2 linked regions of the Sus scrofa genome follow. The protein of the gene in region 1 interacts with the protein of each later gene in a pairwise test. Links are inferred from orthologs where the notes say so. Each region holds a gene or a part of one and is shown on either strand. Other genes may lie near its edges. The genes, in order: RASSF5 and RASSF2.

Region 1 (5,673 bases):
TGAGTCCTGTTGGTCCAGCCCACCGGGCTCCCCCTGGGACCCTGTCTCATTCATCCTCACCCTCAGGAGAGCACGGGGCACGGGAAAGTCCGTGCTCAAGACACCAACGTTGTTGCCAAAGATGAGGTGCTGGCTGTCCAGGGGAGGCTGAGCCCCATGCCACCCAAGTCCCTGTCTCTGTCCTCATCCAGACTGAGCACCAGCTGAGGGCCATGCGGGACATGATGGGACCAAGGACACGGGTGGGCTTGGCAGCACCTCAAGAGGAGCTATCTTGTGGGAAAGATGGCCCGTGCAGGTTCAAGCACTGAGTCCCAGTGGAATGCGACCCTGACCTGGGACTCTCACAGGTGTCCCCACTCAGGGCACGTGAGGCGGGGCCTGCCTCTGTGTGCAGAGCAGGGCATGGGGACTCTGACTTCATCTTGGCTGGCCTAAAAGCCCGGGGCTTAGTTAGCATTTCTAGGGGCCAGGAAATATCAAGCCATGCTTCCGTGGTTTTGCGACAGTCTGTGATTACACGGTCAGATGGGACAGACCCACTAGTGCTCAAATGTGCTTTTTATACAATCCCGAAGCACCCCTCTTGGAGTCTTCTGGGTCCTAACTCTGTCCAGCTCAGCATCAGACCTGTTTAAAAAAACAAATACAAAAACAACAACAAAAAAATCTCCCAAGGGTTTTGGTGCTGTTTTCAGAATATGTGTGTGTGTATGTCTGTGTGTGTGAGAGCGAGATAGACAGACAGACATGGAGAGATTCAGTTGCACAGATGGACACAGACCGCCTGCTGACATGGAATTGAAAGAGGAGACAGGAGAACTTTCTCCTCTCCCCAGACACTCTCCCCTTTGGCAGCTGGTGGCAGCTCTCACTCCTGCTTCCCACTTGGCATCCGCAGAGCATTCTTCATCGCTCAGAGCGTGGCCAGGAGCTGCACAGGTGTGTCCCGGAGTGGAGCCGGGAACAATGCTGCCCTGTGTGGGTTCTGGCCTTGGCGCTCCCTTATCAAAGCCCTGGCATTTCTGGGCACTGTGGGCAGGGAGACTTGGCCTGCACAACCCCCCGTGCCCTTCACCCGGTGCCTGGGTCTCCTGCTGGGGGCCCAGGAATGCGAGTGGCTGCTGGCAGGGGTGCGGTCCTCCACCCACCCCATCTCCAGTGGGAGCACAGCTTCTCGGGAGAAGAATCAGGAAGTCTAGGCAAGGTTGGGGTCTGAAGGAGGGGATGTCAGTGGACTTGACCTGCAGGCACAGGGGAGGTGAGCGGTAGGGCTTCTAAATGCCACCCTAGGAAGGTGGTCAGGACTTCAGACCATTGAGTCAGAGGGTTGCTGGGTTCTGGGATCCCTTCCTGTCCCTGCATTGGCCAGGCGCTCCCCTGAAAGTATTAAGATCAAGAAATGTGAGCCGGGTGCTCATCCTTGGGGAGGTAAGAAAGGGGGCAGCTGGGGAAAGTGGGGTTCTCCTTCCAAAACGCTCCAAAAGAGTGGGGAGACCCACCCACTGCCACCCTAAGAAAGACTGTGCTACAGCAGCTTTAAAAAGATGATCCAGGGAGTTCCTGTTGTGGTGTAGCAAAAACAAATCCAACTAGTATCCATGAGGATGTGGGTTCGATCCCTGGCCTCGCTCAGTGGGTTAAGGATCTGGCGTTGCTGTGAGCTGTGGTGCAGGTCGCAGACAGCGCTTGAATCCCTTGTTGCTGTGGCTGTGGTGTAGGCCAGCAGCTGTAGCTCCGATTGGACCCCTAGCCTGGGAACCTCCATATGCCGCGGGAGCGGCCCTAAAAAACAAAAACAACAACAAAAAGAGGGTCCCCAGGTGCTGTGGTTCTGGAGCTTGTTAAAAGGAAGGAAAAGAGGGAGCTCCTTGGTGGCCTAACAGTTTGACCCCTGGAACTTCTACATGCGGCAGGTGTGGCCCAAAAAAAAAAAGGGGAGGGGGGAGTTCCCTTCATGGCTCAGTGGTTAACGAATCCGACTAGGAACCATGAGGTTGCAGGTTCGATCCCTGGCCTTGCTCAGTGGGTTAAGGATCTGGCATTGCTGTGGCTGTTGGTGTAGGCTGGCAGCTACAGCTCCGATTGGACTCCTAGCCTGGGAACCTCCATATGCCGCAGGAATGGCCCAAGAAATGGCAAAAAGACAAAAAAAAAAAAAAAAAAAAAGGAAGGAAAAGAGTGTCAGGAGACTGAGCCCAACATAAAGCTGTCCCTTCGTCCCCAGATTATCCAGACATGTCCAGGCTGTCTCCTGCCACAAGCCCTGCCCACCCCAGCCCACCCCTATGTACCGGGTGACACGGTCCAGCAACCTTCTCATTAAGACTCTGGCAGCCTCCCTCAGCAGGGCCTTCTGGCTGAGCTGTGGCACCTCCAGGGCTGGTGACCCTGATGGGCCCAGCAGCTTCTGTGGGAACCAACCTCCAGCCTGAGCCTTGTGCCTGCTGATGGGCTTGGACGGATTTCTTTCACTGCCAACCTTTTTTTCTCTCCCATCCTCCCTGCCTTCACCTGCCCCAACCTCCCGGCCTCCTGTCCCCTTCAACTTCACCTCCCTTCTGCCAAGGAGGCTTCAGAGAGGGCCCTTGGGGAAGCTGGAAACTGCTTGCAACCTTGGCTGTGCCACTGAGCCGTGTGTCATTGGGCACCGTGCTTTACCTCTCTGGGCCTCAGTTTCCCCATCTCTGAGGTAACCCCCCATGGTCTGCTGAACACTGGTCATTGTCTTACTTCCATGGATGTGAAACAAATGTGTGCTTTCCTCCAAAGCCTCATTTGGAATGTTGTCTGCAGGCCATGTCAGCCAAGTTAGAGGAGCCACCTCGCATTTCTAGATGGCACTGTGTCAGAGAGACGTGACAGCCCTTCCTGTTGGTGATCATGCCTTTGTCCCTGGAGAAACCTTTAATTTGTTGGGGTTCTTTTTGTTTTTTGGGTATTTTGTTTTGTTTTGTTTTTTGTCTTTTTAGAGCCTTACCTGTGGCATATGGAGGTTCCCAGGCTAGGGGTCTAATCGGAGCTATAGCTGCCAGCTTATGCCACAGCCACAGCAATGCAGGATCTGAGCCGCGTCTTCGACCTACACCACAGCTCATGGCACGCTGGATCTTTAACCCACTGAGAAAAGCCAGGGATCGAACCTGCAACCTCATGGTTCCTAGTCGGGTTCATTTCTGCTGCGCCACAACACAGGAACTCCCACCTTTAATTTGTTAAGACCCGTTCTCCTCTATAACTGTAATCATCCTTGTGCACCAGGCAGGGCCATTATTACCTGTTTTACAGCCTGCAAAACAAGGCCAGGAAAAGTTAAGTTCTTCCACAGGGATTGGGGCCTCTGATGATTAACATCAATTAGTAGAAAGAGCACCAGCCTGAAGCCAGATGATCTGCCCTTGAGAAAGTCACCCTAGGCCCCAGTTTCCTGTCGGCAAAGTGGCGGTAATCATGGTTGCAGGGTCACACACAATAATGGAGGTGGAAACAGTTTACATACTGGGAGCTCCCATTGTGGCTCAGAGGTCATGAACCCAACTCGTATCCATGAGGATGTAGGTTCAATCCTGGCCTTGCTCAGTGGGTTAAGGATCCGGCGTTGCCATGAGCTGTGGTGGAGATGGCAGATGTGACTTGGATCTGGAGTGGCTGTGGATGAGGCTGTGATGAAGGTCCACAGCTGCAGCTCTGATTTGACCCCTGGCCTGGGAACCTCCATGTGCTATGGGTACAGCCCTAAAAAGAAGAGGAAGACAAAAACAAAAAGGAGATTGCAAATTCTAAACAAAAACTAGATTGCAAACTGTAAAGCACCTATTCACCTTCCCTACTCATGGTAGTTCAGAGAGAGCGAGTCATTCTCATGGTGTTCTTCCCCCTCCACCGCCCTCCAGGAGCTACATGCCGCCTCCCAGGGCCTTTTTCTGGGCCTCCTGTCTGGCCCCTAATCCCTCTGCGGTTCTCTCCCTCCAGACTGCAAATTCACCTGCCACCCTGAGTGCCGCAGCCTGATCCAGCTGGACTGCAGTCAGCAGGAAGGCTCCTCCCAGGACAGACCCTCTCCAGAAAGCACCCTCACTGCAACCTTCAGCCAGGTAGGCGGGAGGGCTCGAGCTCCAGGTTGGCGACAGCCTCCTGAGGTGCCCCCAGGTTCCCCTGTCCCTCCCAGGGGCTCTGGGGAGCATGGGTGGCGAGAGTGTTCCATGTACGCTGGATGTTGGGGGTCCCCTTCTGGCCAGTTGGGGTCCATAGCACACTCTTCGAGTCTGCGCCCAGTTCCAATGTGGGGGGTTTCCCCACACCACCACCCTCTGACACCCAGTGGGTGCCCTGTAGTTCAGCTCAGTGCTGTACTCTGCACCCCCCACCCACCACCTCAGATACCAGTTGTAAGAGTATGTTGTCACCCATGCTTCGGACCAACAGGCTGTAGGTGGGAGGTTGCCACAGCTCTGTCTTTGGGCTCAATGCATTTGTTAGAGCAGCTCACAGAACTCAAAGAAACATTTGAAACTTACTAGATCGCCAGTTTATTATAAAAGGATATAACTCAGGAGCAACCAGATGGAAGAGATGCAGAGGGCCAGGTGGGGGAGGTGCACAAACTTTCATGTCCTCTCCAGAGGTGCCCTCCCTGCTCCTCCCCATGTTTCCCAACCCAGAAGCTCTCTGAGCCCCAAACTTCCAGGACCTTACAGAGGCTTCATTATACAGACATGATTGATCAAATTGTTGGCCATTGGCGATTGATCCACCCTCCGGCCTCTCTCTGTTCCCCAGAGGTCAGGGGCGTCCATCTGAAAGTTCTAATCCTCTCATACTTGGTTGGTTCTCCTGGCAACTAGCCTGCATCCTTAGGTGGGATCCAAAAGTCACCTCATGGAATTCCCATCTTGACTTAATGGTTAACGAACCAGAATAGTATCCATGAGGACGTGGGCTCAATCCCTTCCCTTGCTCAGTGGGCTAAGGATCTGGTGTTGCCATGAGTTACGGTGTGGGTTACAGATGTGGCTCGGATCCCACATTGCTGTGGCTGTGGTGTAGCTACAGTAGCTACAGCTCCAATTCAACCTCTAGCTGGGAACCTCCACATGCCATAGGTGCGGCCCTAAAAAGACAAAAGACAAAAAAAATTTAAAAATAAAACCGACAATTTTAATTTTAAAGAAGTCACCTCGGAATTCCTGTCATGGCTCAGTGGTTAACGAATCCAACTAGGAACCATGAGGTTGCAGGTTCGATCCCTGGCCTTGCTCAGTGGGTTAAGGATCTGGCGTTGCCATGAGCTGTGGTGTAGGTTGCAGACGCGGCTCGGATCCTGTGTTGCTGTGGCTCTGGCGTAGGCCGGCAGCTACAGCTCCGATTCAACCCCTAGCCTGGGAACCTCCATATGCCTCGGGAACAGCCCAAGAAATGGCAAAAAGACCAAAAAAAAAAAAAAAAAAAAAAGTCACCTCATTAACATCACAAGAAATACCTTTGGTGCTCTCATCATTTAAGAAGTTCCATTGTGCCAAAAATGGAGACAGAGATCAAATGTGTATATCTCTGATTATTAATCACAGTATCAGAGTTCTCGTTGTGGCACAGCAAAAACAAATCCGACTAGGATCCACGAGGATGCAGGTTCAGTCCCTGGCCTCGCTCAGTGGGTTAAGGATCTGATGCTGC
Region 2 (6,297 bases), on another chromosome or scaffold:
GGGGCGGGGAGATACGGGAGGGGATCCCTGTCCTGGTTTTATAAACCCAGCTGGAGCAGCTCTCCACAACTATGGCTTGAAGACAGAGACTGGATGTCACGTTCCATTCCAAGGACACTGCTGAGACCTGCCCCGTTTCTTAGTCTGGGTAGAGGAGGAGAAATGCAGATAAACCCTGAGACTGTTTTGGGATCATCCAGTCTCCCAGGCTCTCTGAGGGATTCTCTCACAATCTGGTCCCATCTCCTCATCCCACCTCCCAGTGAGAACACTTCCTGCCAAAAGCATCCTAGAGAGGACTGAAGGAAATAATTAGGCCCCGGTCCTTTTGTGCTTTGGTGACAGGACCTCTTTCTGGCAAGTCTAGCCCTTGGCACTCCTGCAGAGGTGCCAGGATACTTGGTCCTGGGCACCTCTCCAACCACCTCTCTTGGCCATTCCTAAGCATCTCACGCATGGAAGGCAGACAAGAAGGTTGGCTCTGGAGCACCGGAAAATAGACCAAGAAACCAAAGCAAAACCCAGGGACCGATCAGTTCCAGGTAGGCCAGGATACAAGAGCAAGGAGGAGAAATGAGGGATTGAAAGCAAGGTGTAGGGTTGTCTACCACCTGGGACCAACCCCTAAGATAACACAACCTGGAGAGAGGACCTGAAGCCTAAAACAGAGAAGCCATGGAGAGATGCAGAGAAGTGGACTCTGGGGCAGAATGAGACCATCCGCAGGAAGATGGGGATGCTGCCAGCTGGAAGAACAGCACCGGGTAAAAACGGCTCAGGCCCTGGCCCACTCAGCCAAGTGTACTCCCTGAAAGAGGGTATGACTAGGGACCCCGATCCTCCTCTTAGCCAGGCCACCCAAAGGCATCCCTCATCATTCTAACCAGATTTCACAAGCATAAAAATGAATAAAAATAAGGACAGAGGAACGTGGAAAATGCCTAGGCTGCTCTCCAAATATCCTATCTCCTAAATATTCCACATCTGCTCTTACACTGGTTTTTGTTTTTTGGTTTGTTTTTTTTGTTTGTTTGTTTGTTTTGCTTTTTAGGGTCACACTTGAGACACATGGAAGTTCCCAGGCTAGGGGTCAAATCAGAGCTGCAGCTGCCAGCCTACACCACAGTCACAGCCACAGCAACACCGGATCCAAGCCATATCTGCAACCTACACTACAGCTAGCAACAATGCTGGATCCTTAACCCACTGAGAAAGGCCAGGGATGGAACCCACATCCTCATGGATACTAGTCAGATTCGTTTCCACTGAGCCACAGTGAGAACTCTGCTCTTCCATCTTCTGAAGGAGGAGCAAGACTCACCTTTCAGCCTACTCTGCGCAGGGAATCATGAACTGAACCAGCACAGACTCCCATTTGCCTGAGCAGACTGCATGCTCTTTCATCTCCTTTTCCCAGGGCAAAAACTAGCTTCTTTCAAGCTACCCTACCTCTCCAAGCTCAGCCATCATTTGAGGCCCTCTTGTACAACCCCCCCACTCCCACCCCACTGAACTGTCACAGCTGCCAGGCATCAGGCTGGCCTATTCAAATGAGAAAGCACAGCTGGTGCCCACAGTCATGGCCCCACTCCAGGGTCTCTTGATTCCAAACCGGCACCTCTCAGACTGACACTGCATTTGGACACAAGTTTTTGCTTTAGTTTTTTTTTTAAAAAGGGCTCTCCTCAAAGGACACAATATAGCTTAGCTATGATAATTCCTCAGACCACCTGCAGAAAAAGTTCCAAGTAAAGTAAATGTGAATTTAGGAGTAAAATAAATCCAACCCTGGATTCCTCAATCAGCTGTTCTGGAAAAAAGGCCCAGGCTCTGTCCCACAGCTGTTTAAAAGAATCATTGTTTCTAATTCTTTCCTCCCATTGTACTAAGATCAACTGTGACAGGAATTGTTATTTGTCAGTTCATTGGCTCATTCATTCATTCATTACATGTAAAGTACTTACTATACACCTATCCAGCTGTAGAAACGGCCTCTGTTCTCTGGGAGTATAAGTTCTAGGGACCCAGATTCCGCCCACCTGGGAATAAAGTGCATTGCAGCGTTCAGAAGCCTGGCGCTCAGCTCCTGCCACCGAGGGGCAAAGGTGCGGTGAACAACCCAGGGCCCACAAAGAGCCCCAGGAAGATTGAACCCACCCTCTGTCTCCCCGGTCAGACCACCACGCCTCTCTGCTGTCCCCAGGGCTCTGCCAGCTTAGGAGTTGAGTACAACGCAGGCGCTCAAAATGCAGAAGTGGCCCGGTCGGCCCAAAGCAATTGCCTCTCGGGTGAGAGAAGACGCAGAGGTTCCCAACGACCTCGGATATCAACTCTGGAGGCGGCCCGGGAGCCGGCAAAGAGGAAGTGCCACGAGGACCCAGGGCCCCTAGGCGTCTAGCGCCCTGCTCTAGGCTGGAACCCTCCAGCGAAACGTGCCTTGAACGGGTTAGAAGGAGACAAGATTGGGGTCGGACACCCTCCAGGGCTGTCGGGGCCTGCCATCCTGGCACCTGCCACCCAGCACCTTTTCTCCAGGGTTTCCTAGGGACCTCGGGGATGGGGCGGGAGTGCCTTCCTGACGTCGCCCTTGGCCCGGAGAGAAGGATGGACCCCCAAAGGTCGGAGGGGGAGGCGAGCCCGGAGCCACAACTTTCTCCGGCGAAAGGAGGGCGGGCTGGTGCTCCGCGCCCTCGCTGCCCCTGGGGAGTCCGCACGCCCGGGAACCCCCAGCCTCTGGTGAAGGAGGGAGGAGAATAGCGGCAGACCAGGACTGAGGGGCTGACTTGGACGGGACAGGGGACACCGCGGGAAAACTTTCGGCGAGGCGGAAGAGGGACAGAGGAGAGAGGGCCGCCCAGTGCACCACACCTCGCGCCCCGCAACTCGCCCCCGGAGCCTCGCTCCCCGCGCCCAGCGCCCGGAACCTTGCCTGCGTCCCGAGCCGGCTGCATCTCGCGCGCGCTGCGGGGACCGTGGAGTTGGAAAGTGGGAGTGCTTCGGCCGGGTTTGGGGGGCTGCTCGGCCAGCGGTCGGCGAGCCCGGCTCACTTCCAGCGGGGCTGAGAGAGCTGCAGCCGCGCAACTGGGGGTCGGGCGCCCCGCCCCCTTAGCACCACCACCCCCAGCCCCTCCTCGCTCGCCCGCCCCTCTGCCTTTATCTGCCCCTTTCGGGTCAGACCGCCCTCCCTCCCCGCCTTTCTCTAGCTCTTCTCTACCCCCACCCCACAGCCCTCGCCTTTCTTCTTCCCCCTCCACTCCCGCCCTCCTTCCCTCCCCCCCCGGGGGGGCGGGGCTTCTCCCCTCCCTCCCAGACAAAGCTGTGGCTGCGCGTCCCCTCCTTCCCCGCCCGCGAGTCGGGGCTCCGGCTGCCAGCGCCTCTTCCGGCTTTGGGTGGCGGGGTAGAAGTGAGGGGGTGGGGAAGATGAGCTAGCTCACCTCTCCCCATTCTCTGCGGCCCCTCTCCGAAAGGGACGAGGTCTTGGCCCGACGCGCCGGGCGGTGACAGCCACTTCCAGAGTACAGTCACGCTGCCCTGAGAAGGCCACTCGAGCGTCGTGGATTCTTCAAGCGGAGGATGTGGGGTTTTTTTTTTTTCCTAACACCTGCTTGTTCCAAAAAGGGTTTGAGCTGAGCAAGGCGGAGGAAGTGGGTTTTTTTCTAACACCTGCTTATTCCAAAAAGGGTTTGAGCTGAGCAAGGCCCCTTGGACTTCGCAGGGTGGCAGACGTGACAGCAATGTGAAGGAGGGCAAGTTTCTTTGTCCTCTTCTCACCTCCCCCTCTTAGCCATCCCTAGACCTCCAGGGGCTCTCAGTGCACAGGAAGCCCTGGAGCACCCTAAATGCGGGGAGCCTTAGCTGTTCCCCTGCTCTGATCGCAATTCCCACTCCCCGCCCCCCAACACACACACTCCAGCCCTCCAGAGTTGGTCCCCAGGCTTTTTGGGGTGAATGGGGGACTAAGGGTTAATGGGTAGACAACCCTCAGGGTACAGCTGGGTCAGCTCATCCCTCCTGGAAGCCAAACGTTCTTTATAAATTCATTGTTTGGATCTTGGAATGTGTCTCCCTTAGAAACAATGTTGTAAATGGTGATGTGCTTCCCAGGCTGGCCACAAAAGTCTTTTGAACCCGAAATGCAGCTGAAGATTTGTGCTGAAAACTGTGTCAGCCATCCTGGAACAAGGAGACCACTGATCAGTCTTTTCTACAGGAAAAAAAAAAAAAAAAAAAAATTTTTTTTTCCTTGAGCTGTATAAACACAAAGTTCAATCATTAATTTCCCCTCTCCCACCCCACACTTTGGAATTACTACTCTGTATTAATTAAGCTTCTTTGCTTTGCAGGTAATAGGAACACTCTAAGGGGAATGTATTATGAGGACATGAGAATTTCCCTATAACTTCAGGGTCAGAACTGCAGGGAGAGCTCGGTAAGAGGCAAATCCAGAAACTGGGGGACTTCCAATAACCCAGAAAGCTGAGAATCCAACTCTTCTCTTTTATCACAGATTGACCTTCCCTGCACCCCAGACAAATGACAAAGGGTGGCCATCACTTCATCATTGGGGCTTAGAAATTAAGAAATTTCTTCTTGTTGAAGAAAGCAAACTCGTGGAACTAGAATCTCTTAGTCTCTACTCTAGTCTCCCAGGAAAGCAGCTCATTGGCTCATGTTGGGTCAGGTGACCATCCTATGACCAATCAACTGGGGCCACAGGTGGGCTTACATTGTCCAAATTAGACTGCAGGGAGCCCTGACCTGTTTTTTAAAATACAGATCCAGCGTTGCTGTGTCTGTGGCATAGGCTGGAGGCTGCAGCTCCGATTCTACCTCTAGCCTGGGAACTTCCATATGCCGGGGACCTGGGCCTAAAAAGAAAAAAAGAAAAAAGAGTCCAGTCCTCTCAGAGTTCCTGCTATTGCACAATGGGATCAGCAAAGTGTTGGGAGCGCTGGGATGCAGGTTCAATCCCTGGCCCAGCACAGTGGGTTTAAGGATCCGGCTTTGCTGCAGCTGCTGCATAGATCTTAATTTCACTCGGATCTGATCCTTGGCCCGGGAATTCCATATGCCCTGGAGCAGCCAAAGGAAAAAAAAAATTCCATTCCTTTCCTCTTAAATTTTTTCATCTTGGCAAATGAATTGATTGATTTGTTTGAGACATCAGAAAACATCTTACTTTTCATCAGTTTCCCCATACAGAAAGCACAGGAGAGAAAGGAATAGGCCTTTATCCTTCAAGGCAGTATAGGGACAATATTTCTGTAACAGGGGTATTATTTTGCAAATATTAAACTGATCTATTTAAGCCCAGCCTTAAACCATGTTTTCTTGCAGACTCCACCCTGAGGGACTGGGAAGCAGATGGCCCCAGGGAAGCAGAAGAAAAGTGTCCCTACAACTATCCTCCAGTAGAAATACAATGCGTGCCACAAGTACAATTTAAAACTTTCTAGCCACATTAAAAATAGTAAAAAGAAATAAGTGAAATTAATATTTTATTTAACCCAACAGAGGCAAAATATTACCATTTCAATGTGTTAATAGTATAAATTATTCACTAATAATTTTGCATTCTATTTTTGTACTAAGGCTGAAATCGGGTGTGTATTTACACTTCAGAACATCTCAATTTGGACATTACATTTTCGTCAAAAATACTTGATATGGGAGTTCCCGTAGTGGCGCAGTGGTTAACGAATCCGACTAGGAACCATGAGGTTGCGGGTTCGATCCCTGCCCTTGCTCAGTGGGTTAATGATCCAGCGTTGCCGTGAGCTGTGGTGTAGGTTGCAGACGCGGCTCGGATCCCGCGTTGCTGTGGCTCTGGCGTAGGCCGGTGGCTACAGCTCCGATTCAACCCCTAGCCTGGGAACCTCCATATGCCGCGGGAGCGGCCCAAGAAATAGCAACAACAACAACAACAAAAAAGACAAAAGACAAAAAAAAAAAAACAAAAAAAACTTGATATGTACGTAGGTTTAAAAAATTTTTCACTTGAAAAATTATATTCACATGCCCACATTTTTTCAACATATTAAAGTTTCTCAATAACTGGAGTATCAATTTTTAAATTTAAATTTTAATTTTAATTAGGGCTACATAAACTTAATATTCAGTTCCACTAGTCACATTTCAACTGCATAATAGTAACATGTGGCTAGTAGCTACTATATTGGGACAACACAGGTTTGGAGAGCAAGGAGGTTACTGATGAGCTTGAAGCCTCAAAGCCTACTTCCCTTTTCTCTTTAGCAAAGCAGTGACAGAAATATCAAGCATGGTCAGAGAAAATGA

What was found.
Region 2: the proteins of RASSF5 (region 1) and RASSF2 interact in binary tests that used the Homo sapiens proteins (3 or more experiments, as listed by UniProt). The link is inferred for Sus scrofa from reciprocal best matches to the Homo sapiens genes RASSF5 and RASSF2.

What each region holds. Positions count from the first base shown.
Region 1 is NC_010451.4:67,179,792-67,185,464, forward strand, and holds part of RASSF5 (ras association domain-containing protein 5), read left to right. Parts: intron 1-3,972; coding exon 3,973-4,094; intron 4,095-5,673. UniProt on the Homo sapiens protein: Potential tumor suppressor. Seems to be involved in lymphocyte adhesion by linking RAP1A activation upon T-cell receptor or chemokine stimulation to integrin activation.
Region 2 is NC_010459.5:13,819,130-13,825,426, forward strand, and holds the start of RASSF2 (ras association domain-containing protein 2), read right to left. Parts: upstream 3,601-6,297; 5' UTR 3,435-3,600; intron 3,246-3,434; exon of another isoform or gene 2,930-3,245; intron 2,016-2,929; exon of another isoform or gene 1,965-2,015; intron 1-1,964. UniProt on the Homo sapiens protein: Potential tumor suppressor. Acts as a KRAS-specific effector protein. May promote apoptosis and cell cycle arrest. Stabilizes STK3/MST2 by protecting it from proteasomal degradation.